Linked DNA regions of Caenorhabditis elegans. The protein of the gene in region 1 interacts with the protein of each later gene in a pairwise test. Each region holds a gene or a part of one and is shown on either strand. Other genes may lie near its edges.

What was found. Proteins that work in one complex are often made in the same cells at the same time.
Region 2: the proteins of gon-4 (region 1) and ZK973.9 interact in a two-hybrid assay, tested with the Caenorhabditis elegans proteins (one large-scale study listed by BioGRID).

Annotation. Positions count from the first base shown.
Region 1 is NC_003282.8:10,196,234-10,203,548, reverse strand, and holds gon-4 (GON-4-like protein), read right to left. Parts: upstream 5,733-7,315; 5' UTR 5,730-5,732; coding exon 5,647-5,729; intron 5,603-5,646; coding exon 5,338-5,602; intron 5,294-5,337; coding exon 5,183-5,293; intron 5,136-5,182; coding exon 4,787-5,135; intron 4,734-4,786; coding exon 4,483-4,733; intron 4,230-4,482; coding exon 3,546-4,229; intron 3,501-3,545; coding exon 3,141-3,500; intron 2,838-3,140; coding exon 1,929-2,837; intron 1,876-1,928; coding exon 1,810-1,875; intron 1,759-1,809; coding exon 1,591-1,758; intron 1,548-1,590; coding exon 1,392-1,547; intron 1,341-1,391; coding exon 1,071-1,340; intron 1,022-1,070; coding exon 854-1,021; coding exon of another isoform or gene 850-853; intron 803-849; coding exon 626-802; 3' UTR 556-625; downstream 1-555.
Region 2 is NC_003279.8:4,369,893-4,373,967, forward strand, and holds ZK973.9 (SS18 N-terminal domain-containing protein), read right to left. Parts: upstream 2,247-4,075; 5' UTR 2,220-2,246; coding exon 2,124-2,219; intron 1,521-2,123; coding exon 1,007-1,520; intron 803-1,006; coding exon 711-802; 3' UTR 527-710; downstream 1-526. Other genes in the region: pdp-1 (PPM-type phosphatase domain-containing protein), read left to right, coding at 280-381; lpd-5 (NADH dehydrogenase [ubiquinone] iron-sulfur protein 4, mitochondrial), read right to left, coding at 2,448-2,631, 2,678-2,874, 2,977-3,126; cec-10 (Chromo domain-containing protein), read left to right, coding at 3,772-3,921, 3,971-4,075.

The sequences.
Region 1 (7,315 bases):
AATTTCATTGTGATAAGTTTTTAAAATTAATTTTCAATGGATTTTCGGCTATAATTCACTCGTTCCGAAAGAAATTATTTTTTGTCGAAGATGATTCATAAGTTCACGGATCTATAAGTCTATGAATTCTATTTGATTGTATTAATACATGTATTTGATTCCTATGTCTATTTTTACTTGATTACGGCTCTATTCGCCCTTTTTTAAATAAACAATTTTTTGATAAGTTTAGAGAGAATACTATTCATTGTCGGCATCTCATCCTTGGCAATTTTCTTATTTTTCAACAATTTTTCGTTAAAAAAAAGTCGGAACGCCATCCGTTGATCTACAATCAGCATCCACTTCTTGTCATTTTATTGTAAAATTCAACTACCATATTTTTTTGCGCGCTGAGACCCAACAATAAGAATAAATCTGTGCACCTTTAATAAGGCGAATTTTGGGCAGATTTCAGCAATGAAGATCGTTAGTATATATACGTATAAGTCAGAATTCTCTGAAAGTAGACGATTACCGTATTTCCTCGATTATAAATAATATATGACATTATTTGAAAATAAAATGTACATTTTCTTCAAAGTTTCAAAATTAAATGACACAAAAGATATTAAGTTATTCAAAGTTAATCAAGAGATTTAAGTTCGGTAAGAAGATATTGTAATCGTGCGATAATTGATTTTTCTCCGAATGACAGGTCGGATATCAAGGATGGCATTTGAGATACGGTAAAGTTGGGTATGGTTTTGAGAGCTTCATTATAGCTGGTCAAAAGAGATATGTCATCTTTTCTGGTCCAAAGCTGGAAAATGTATAATGTATCGTTTATCTGAAAGTTTCATGATAGACTAACTCGTTCAGTAATTTCCAATTGGGTATAGGTTTCGTCGTCATTTCGAATGCAAAATTCTCCACATTTTACAACTAAATTTGAAGGTGGTTCATTCTTTGACGCCCGATAAACACTTCCCATTACTTGATCGATATCATCCACCGTCTCAAATCGCGGAGGAATGCTATTCTGAAATATTCCTGATTTAAATTTTTAAAAAAGAAGATCAAGTTTTTACCCAGTCACGCTTCTCTCGTTTCGACATTGTCTCTAGTCCAGTCAAGTCAATGTATTCGTAATTTTCAAGGCGTGGTCTAGCTTTGTACGGAAGACACCAGAATCTTGACTCCAATTTCTTCCACAATGGGCGGTCTTGACCAAATAATTCATAAAATCGTTTGGTTGCTTGCTCGTCGGTCATATTTGGTTTATCCTCTAAAAAGCTTTGAATATATCGAAAAAGTCCTTTCAATGATGGTTCCTTCAGTTTCGCAGCAGTAATATAACGCTAAAAGTTAAATTAAATAATGAAATATTTTAGACAGAATATGCTACGTACTTCAATGTCCATAATCATTTCAATCGCTACTTTATATGATTGATAATTATGATCACATTGTAAGTCTGAAATGACAGCTTCTGGTGGAGCATTGAGAAGAACGAGATTCAGAAGTTCGGGATGATTAGCCAGGATAATAATTGTTCGTGTGACTTTCTGCAATTAAATATACAAATAATGAAATGAATTTTTGAAAAACCTCAAAATCAGTCAAGTTTTCATCAGTAATTGCTTCTTTGAAACGCTGATATGTATCAGTGTGCATGAAAAGTCTTTGATTTACGTCTTCAATTACTTTTCTCATGATATTTTCTTTCTGCTTGTCATGAAGTTGCTCATCATCCAGTCCAACAGATCCCATCGCTTCCTAAAATTGAATAAAATTGCATACAAAAGGAATAGTTAATTTAAAACTAACTCTTTCAATTCTGGTCCTCTTTCTGGAAGGGGCTAAATTCGTAATTCCAGCCTTCACTTCTTTTTTCTGAAATATTTAATTGAATTTAAATAAATTTTATAAAAGTTTTTTGAACATACAAATCTTAATGGTGGTCTAGAATTGACAAGACCTTGTTTAATTGGAGCCTCTTCTTCTTCAATATCTTCAATAATACATTCCTCAACGTCTTCCTCATACAATGGTACCATATCGAGACCTGGCATAGACGAATCATCTTCAATTGCTGATTCTTGTGGAGTTCTTTGATGAGAAGGTACAGGTATTTCTTCAGGTAATGATGAAGAGTTTGAAAATTCTCCAAAATCAGAACAGTATCCCATTGGTCTCTGGCATGATGTTGATTGGAAAACGATCTCCTCAGTATCCAGTGATGTAGCTTTTCCCAGCGATGAAAAATCGATTGGTTCAGAAGATTCAGAAGCAGAGAACCCTCGTGGTGTCTGTGGATTTTCATCGGTAACAGCATACGGTGTTTGAGGCCACATAAGACTATTCGACTCCAAGTCCATGAAATAATCGTCGAAGTCATCAGGAGATCGACGTCCTGGTGTTGGAGGAATCGGATACGAGAAACACGAGTTCGAATTCGTTTCATATTTACTTGCTGTTATTTCAACATATGATTTTTTGAGTGTGCCAACGTCGACGTCTTCATAACTCACGGAACACGTTGTGGTAGTAATGTGACACGAAGTGTTCAATGTTGGTTGATCAGACATTGGTAGAGGTCTTGGAAATTTTGAAGTTTCCTGATTGTTTATGGACTCCAAACTATCAATTGATGACGTTGAAGGCATCAATTCTTTCTCGTGTGTTCCGTTATTATCTACATTGGAATCACCCGAAACATTTGATAATGCGGATATTGTTTGACCGCCACAACTATTCTTTTGACTATCAGCGATCCGCTTTTCAGCTTCTTCAAGTTGAATCATCGTACTGAGCTTCATCGGGGTGGGATTTTTTCGTCTTTTTGATGGGGATATCTTCAATAAAAATCAAATAAGTTTTCGTAAGTAACATGTATTTCCTCTATTAGTATCGCACCTCGCATTTCAATTTTGGCTCGAGTTAATTAAATGACATAAAAATGTTATACCGCAAAACATTCGATTTTTCAAACGTTTCGATTGATTCTGCATTTAAAGCCTGAAATTCGAGTAAATGAAAGAAAAACAAATGAGCAATTTGACAATTTTTTATAAGCCTAAAAGTTAGCTGAAACCAACTGAGATAACGTTGAATGAGGTGCAATACTAATAGAGAATACACAGTAATCAACTCTTCACCTCGTTCTGTTTAATCAATTGATGTACAAGATCTTCTATATGTTCTCTTCCCATTATTATCTTCCGTCCATCAGGCGCTGTGCCCATGTTCACGAACTCATCGTCTTCTCCTTCTTCTCCAGATTCAAAAGTCGCTTCCGAAGCTTCTTGATCTTGCCTATCTTTATTTTTTACAGGAGTCAACACCATCGTGGAAACATGCTTACGAAGGATTTTTCGTTCTTCTGTGACATTAAATGTTTCCTGAAACCGACGATACCATCCTGGCTGCGAAGCTGGAGGCCATTGACAGATCGGAGTATCTGATTCCTGCCAAGATTTCAATGGCAATACAAGTTTGCACACTCCTTTTTCCGCAGCCTGAAAATAAATGTTTTTTTTAATCTGAAGATGGAAAAAAATAACCTGCATTATTTGATGAATTGGGTTCTTGTCCGACCTTCGCATTGACTTTAAATGTGTTCGAATTTTGTACGAACTTCTAGCCGGTAGACAATGTTGTTGAATAGCAGTGTACCTATCTATCATTTCTTTTTCCCCGCGCCTGGGAAGATGAGCAAATTGTAATAAAGCGACAGCTAACATCAGATCTTCTTCACTCAAAAATGGAATAGGAGTTTCAATAAAAAAAGGTTGTCTTGAAGGCAGTAGAGCTGGATATCGAATAGCGTTGCTTCTGGACAAGACGACGGCAGCTTCCGGCCTTAATGCAATTCCACCGTATCCTTCTGTATTTTCAGCATACTTAAGAAAACTTTCATCGACTGCATCAAAAGCATTTATATCATGACACGATTCTATGGCAGCATCCAGATTGCGTACATCAAATACAGTGGGATAAATTTTCTGTTGTCGAATATCATCAAGTTCGTTCATCATTAGCTGAGAACTATTTCTAACATGAGACAAGTTTACATCGTGATGACATGTAACAACTAATTGAGTGAGAAGTTGAACGTGCTGTTCCAGTTGCATGTTCAGTTGCTGAAGTTCTTGAGGACGAAATGTGGCAAGAGAGTCTTTGAGGAGAGAACATGATTCCGATGAAGATGATATTGAAGTATTTATGCGTTCGTACACTTCAGCATCCTGAATATTTTAAATTATTTGAATATGTGTGTTCCGCAACAATTTTTAATAATTTTCTGTGTAGTTCATGATTACGCGGCAATTCCCCACAATCAGCCAGTGTGGCATGTTCTCACAATACTTTTATTAAAATTTGTGCTGAAAATATAGAAACATAATTTAATAAAAAACTTTGTGAGAACATGCCATACTGGCTCATTTTGTAGAAATACCTGGTTTAGTTGCATTAATATTCGAAAACTAATAAACTTGCCTTCACTTTCTGACTTTTCCTATGTTCTTCTCCGTTTATTGCTTCTTCTGGAAATGCGTTCAAAGGAATTTCTTTTTCAGCCAATAAAGTATCAATCATTAGTGCTTTTAACTCGTGTCGTGGAATTTGTGTTGTTTTATCTTGCCGCGTTTCATCCCAATCTTCTACGTTGAGGCCATCATCAGCACATACATTATAATCTTCATCATCTGGATCATCTTCAGTATCGAGAACTTCCAGATTATCATTATCTGGAATTCGTTAATTTGGCAGTGATTTATTTGTTCTCACTTGAATATCTTACCTTTTTCTGTTCGATTAATTCCTGTAACGAAATCTCGATAAAATCCATCATCATCTACATTGTCAAGAGTTGGAATTGGAGCAACAGATTCAGCACGTGTATCATTCAGAGTCATATTTAAAACATAATCCTCTTCGTTCTGAACGTCTTCTGATGTTTCGTCAAACAACAAAGCATGCATTGTATCGTTTTGACCACTTGTGCATGCTTCCGATCCAGTGATTTCATGTTCTCCATCTTCTTCCAACTCATCCTGCTCCTCATCGTCCTCATCTTCTCCTTCGTCTTCTATTTCCTCCTCGTCATCATTTTCTTCATCTTCTTCACTTCCAGCATTTAATTTATTTCTCTAAATACAACAAACTTTATTTTCAGCAATTAAAGTGAGCTACTCACCGTCGACGTGTCATTTTCTTCAATGTAGTCGTCATCGTATTCATCATCTTCTTCGTATTCCAAATCAAGAAAACTTTTCGGACCTCTATCTTCAATGCGGAGAGCGCCGAACTGGAAACTTTTCAGTTTTCTTCAGAAAAATTATAAATTCTTACCTTTTTAGGAGTATTGACTGTAGATGAAGCACCTGAGTCATCGGGTTTTTTTCTTGATCGCATATTTCTGACGCTTGGAAGATCATCGTTTTCTCGAATTCCAAGAAGAACGTCAATTGTAGAAGGATATTTAATAAGATGGTGAAGAATAGATCGAACGTTTAGAGACGACAAATTCATCGATTTTGCCTTGTTCTCCAATATTTCATCAGTTGCTTGAAGTAAACGGAACATTTCATCGTCTCCTTTTTCTTTTTCAGTTTCTCTAAAATTATAAGTTGATTCGTTTTTTTTTTAAACAAAATTAACCGTGTTTGATTGGGATCAGTTGCAGTTGAAGTTGATGGCTGATCATCTATTGATTCATTGTTTTCTTCTGCGGTGTCTTCCATTCTGTAGAAATAAAATATTAATTTCTGATGAAATAAAATTGATTTAAACGTTTTTTCAATAGAAAATATAGACATTCAGCTTATTTTTGCAATTATCTGGAAGTTTAGCATTTAAATTGCACTTAAAATAATATAAATGTTCTTTTAAAAATTTCATCGAACAAGAAAACTGGATTTACATTTGAATTTAACGATTTTTACTTCTATAAAAATGAAAATCAGAATGAAAACAGAAACAATTAATTCAAAAAACATATTCTCCGTCTCTTCTTTGCCGAATTATTCTCGTCGGAGCGAGGTTGCATTCACGGCCACGGCCACCTCCTGTTGAATTATTTGTGCCATGGAACTACAGTAAGACTACAGTATTCTCTTAAATATAAAAATAAAGGAATAACCAAATTTATTGGCACGCATTTAATAATATGAGATTTGAGAAAACATTTTCTTAAACTGTACAACCTGTAAATGTTTCAAAAAGTTAGAAGTTTATGTATGCGCTTTCAACATTATAAAAATGTGGTCCCTGGTCTTCTTTCTTCAAATGGTGGTATTTATTAATTCTGGGTTCAAAATGAAACGGATATCGTAAGTACCCAGTTTCTCGCAGGTTTAAGTTTTCCCGATTCCCACAGTTTTTCATTCACTCGTCTTCTTCGTTTCTTTTCCGCAAATTTGAACAATTAGTCATCGACCATCTGCCTCCGGATCACCGATACGACAGAAAGCCGTTCCCATTTTTCACACGAATTTGCATTTTCAAAAGAAAAAGTAATTGTCACTTTTCACCAACATTCTCAAAACTCCCGTCTGTTTTGGATTAACAGATTCATGTAATTTGCCCCAGGTTCCCGGGATAGAAATTGAATACTTCTTATAAAATTGTTTTTTTTTTCGAATTTTTGAATTATAAGCGCTTCCCTAGAAAGACTTCAAACATAACGTTTCAAAAATGTATTAGTGCAAGCAAAAATTATGAACATGCTGCTTTTTTTTAACTTGATAAGCTCCACTTTTACATTGGCATTTTTCAAAACGGAAACATTTTTTTGTTCTACTCATCTTTACTATTTTCAAAACCAATAAAAAAGTTAAAATAAATATTTATACTGTTTACGATATTTGAAATTTCTATAAACTAGAATATTTAACTATATTGGGAATGGTATTATTCGAACGGTTTCTTATTTCTCTATAAATTTCAAGGAACAAAGATTTTGGTTAATTGCCAAACTTTTGCAAACTTTGCTATTTTTTTCTAAATTTCGAGCATTTTCGTAGCTTGCAATGTCTAAAGTCAAATTATTAATAGTAAAAGAAACGTTATAATAAAATAAAAACTCGTAGTAGAATATTTACAATTACCGTATGGTCTCTAATAGTCTTACACTCCTCTTTTTGCTTGACCACTAATACTATGTGGAGACTTCAGCAATAACTGATGAAATTTTGCGAAAAAATATATATATTTTCATTGTTTGAACGGTATGGAGTTAAGTTTTCTATTAAAAGTTTGACACTTTCCAAAGTCATAGTACCTTCGAAAGTTAGTCTTGCAGCCTCTATTAGTCTTACACACCTACGGA
Region 2 (4,075 bases), on another chromosome or scaffold:
CGTCTTTTTTTAAAACTTTGAAGCGAAATCCCGTAATTTCACGAGATTACCTTCACAAAGGCACACGGATTTATTCAAATGGGTCTCAGCGCGCAGCGTAAAAAAAGTAATTTTATAGAAAACTGCAAGGAAAATAAACAAATCGCAAAAATTTGCAAATAATTACCATAAACTTTTTTGCGCGCCGAGACCCATCTGAATTAATCTGTGCGCCTTTAAGTAGGCACGGTGAAAGATTGTAACATTATGATTTTTTTTTAATAAAAATTATTTTTTCAGGTCCCTCCCGGCCGAGCACGTAACTATCGTGACGACATCACTGTTATTGTGATCCATTTCAATGAAACCTTCCTCGACGGTCACGAAGACGATGAAGAATAACTCTTAAAATTAATGCCATGCACACATTTTTATAGTCTTTACTGGTATTATCCCTATTTTAATTTTTGTAATCTCCCCTCTGTAGAGACGACGACTTTATGCCAAAGAGTCTCCCCGGTCTTTGTCTAGGTATCTTTTCTTGTATATAATAGTTGCATTTATTGTTAATTGGTGCTCAAGATCAATGATTCTTTTCTTTTCTCACATCGAAAAAAAAACATACAATCACAATAATTTAATGATTCAGTTAGTACATATCAAAGTGAGACAAAGGAATGAGATGTTATGTTTGACAATTTGGTGAAATTTTGGAGTTGGAGATCTGTCGATTATCGCATGTATCCTGGCTGGGCTCCTGGTGGAGGATATCCTTCGTATCCGTGTGGTGGTGGTGGTGGACCTCCAGGATATCCAGGCATTCCTGAAAGAAAATAAATTTCAGTGAATTTATAGTTTGAGGTGCAGAATCTTTGAGATTGGATTGGGATATAAAAATTTCAGAATTATTTTTAGAATGTACAAAAAGGCCAAAATTCCCCTGAAGTTTTTTTTCACCAATTTTTATTTTTTCGGGAAATTCTGGGAATTTTTTAACTCAAATAAGGTATTTTTCCACAATAATTACCTTGCGGCGGGTAAGGATAAGGCATTCGCTGTCCACTCATCTGCGGTGCTGGCTGTCCAAACGGTGGATACACAGGTGGCGGAGCTTGTCCATTAGGCTGTTGTTGCTGCTGCCGCATTTGTGCTTGATAAGCTTGATGATTCATCATCTCGGGTGGTACACCACCACCCATTGGCGGAGGAGCAAATCCGTGAGGCGGCTGCATTGGACCACCTGGACTTGGTGCCGCCTGTGGTGGCATCATTTGTTGACGATGGTGAGCGGCAGGAAGTCCTTGTTGAGGATGTGGATGGCCTTGTTGTGGTGAATGTTGTGGTTGTTGTTGTTGGAGATGTGGTGCCGGAGGACCAGAAGCTCCGGGTTGAGGCTGTTGTTGGTTAGGATCTGGAAGAGCGGCAGCAGCGGTACCATCATCTTTCAGCTGGCTTAGAAGGAATGGGTCTGCGAGATTTGAAAGATGTAACAAGTTCCGATGTAAAAGTTGTTGGTGTTTGATGGCTTCGTCAGCACGGCTCTGAAATGATTTTTTTATGATTAGAGGAGGAGTAATCGGTGCTCGAATTTCGAAATAAATTTTTAAAAAACGAAAAAATTCCATTAAATCTGAAAAATCGTTTGAATTACCGCTCTATGGTCTCTAAACTCCGCCCATGGAGCCATTCCGCACTTCAATTTTGAGGCAGAATTTTTTGTGTTTTTTTCTAATTTTTAATGAATAAAAAGGTCATAAACGTTTTTTTTTTGTATTTAAAAATTATTCAATAGAAAAAAAACATTGTTATTGTAGAGCTCTATAGAGTTCCGCGAAATTTAACAAAATCGATACGATTTTTTAAAAACAATTTTGCACATTTATGACGTATTTCTTTATTAAAAATTAGAAAAACAACACAAAAAAGATAAATTTGTGCCAAAATTGAAAAGTGCGACACGGTTCTATGGACGGTATTTATAGACCATAGTGCGGTAATTCAAATGAGGAACAGTTGAAAAATCGCCAAAATCATCTTTTTTTTCATACTTAGCAATTTTTACGATTTTCTTTTGTGGTATTTCGGCATTTGGGAATAGTGAGTATTTTAAGGTACTCCTTTTTTGCAAAAAAAAACAAACAAACCTGATTTAAATATTCCTGTATAATATCGATCAGCCTTGAGTTTTCATCGAGTAACTTCTGCACAGTTGACTGTTGATCTGGAACATTTGTTCGCATCGCTGGAGGTAGATGTGCCGTTGACATCTGGTGATTTATAAGAAATATAGAAAATAAACAGGGAAATCAAATTTTAAAAAAATACAAGTTGGATATTTTTGAAACCAACAAGAAACCAATACAATAATAGTTTTCAGTACAATATCGAGATAAATCTTCATTTTCTACACAAAAAAAAACAAAATCTAAATAGAAGCGGTTCAGTTTACTTCGTCTTTTAATAGAAATTTACTTAGTTCCAATTCTGGTTCTTCTGTTCCATGAGAAGTTTTGTCCGTAATTCTTTGGCTTAATCTTGCGCTCATGTGGCTCCTCGACGTCAAACTCCCAGCGATTCTTTTCACAGAAAGCGATAGCGTCCTCTTTTGTGGCAAACTTGAGATCCATTCCAACATTGGAGAGTGGATCCGCACTAAATTTTTTTTTTAAACTTTAAACTTCATTAAGATGCTACTCACGTTCCAGACCATCCCATCAATGGATTTTCCCATCTTTGACGATTATCCAGCTCAATGGTCCAGGACTTGGTATTACCCCAAGCACTTTGTGTAGTCTCTCTTGCTGGACGGAAGATGCGAGCGGTACGGGCATCTTGGTGATCAAGTGGAACACCTCCGATATCCATTGTCTCATCGGATGATACTTTTACTGGAGTCTGAAATATTTATTTCAATAAAAATGTCAAGTATAAACAATTTAAGTGCAATTCGCTGAATTTCGTGTATTAAAACAGGAAAAATCAACATTTAAATCTTACTTTTTGAGACGGTTTGTCAAGAATATCGTTGAGCTCAACCTTTTTGGCATCATGCGATCTTGTGACCGGTAGGTTGTCCTTTCCAGTCGAGAGGCAACGGAAAGCCGTGTTTCCCGCCGAAAGGCAACGAGAGGCTCCAGCACGAAGCATCTGTAAATTACTCCATTAATAAATAATTTAAAATTACAATACTGTGACGGATTAGAAAAAATAGAAAAGAATATTTAATTAAAATCAATAAATTGAGAGGAAAAAATATGAAAATAAAAAAAATGTTCGCGTTTTCAACGACACTCCGGTATAACGGTACCGCGTGTTGTTTATCGTAAATCAGATGTTTTTTGAGCTGAATTCATTTTTTAATTCGTTCATAATTTTAGGTCTAAAACTATAATTCAATAAAACTATAATTCAATTTAAACCATACAGATTGTTCTTTTACATTTAATTAATCAATTTAAAAGTATTTCCTAATAGAATTTCTCATAATTCACGAGACCCCATTGTGTTTTGATTTTTTTGACAGCTAGTGCTTGTACGAGAACACATACCATTCCCTTCTTGTGACTCATGTCACTTTTAATATTTATCACAATGATTGCCTTACAGTCTAAGTACATTCTTCACCCTTTGTCTCCCGTTGTAATATCCTTTCTAATTCTCTTGTGAGCTGTTCTTCTGACCTCAACCACCTTTTAATGTTCTTGGATAATAAACTTCATGAAAATTGTCAGTTTTTACACTTGTAACCACTCTTAAATTACCGCTTTCACAACACTTGTTTTAGTTTTCAGAATGTCAAGCTCCAGCGAGACCCAAGTCAACGTAGACACTGAAGAGGAAAGCTCGGTTCAAACATTGGAAGAATCAGAAGAAGATGAACAAGGAGGTGAGGAAGACGAAGAAGATGAAGAAGAAGAAGAAATAGACGAGGATCACTGGGTGGTAATACTGCAATTTGACTGAAACAGAAATACATTCAACTTTTTTTCAGGTCGAAAAAGTACAAGAAATGCGGTACAATGGAAAATTGAAAAGAGTCGAGTTTCTCGTTTTATGGCAAGCTGATAAATCGACATCTTGGGAGCCTATAGAAAAT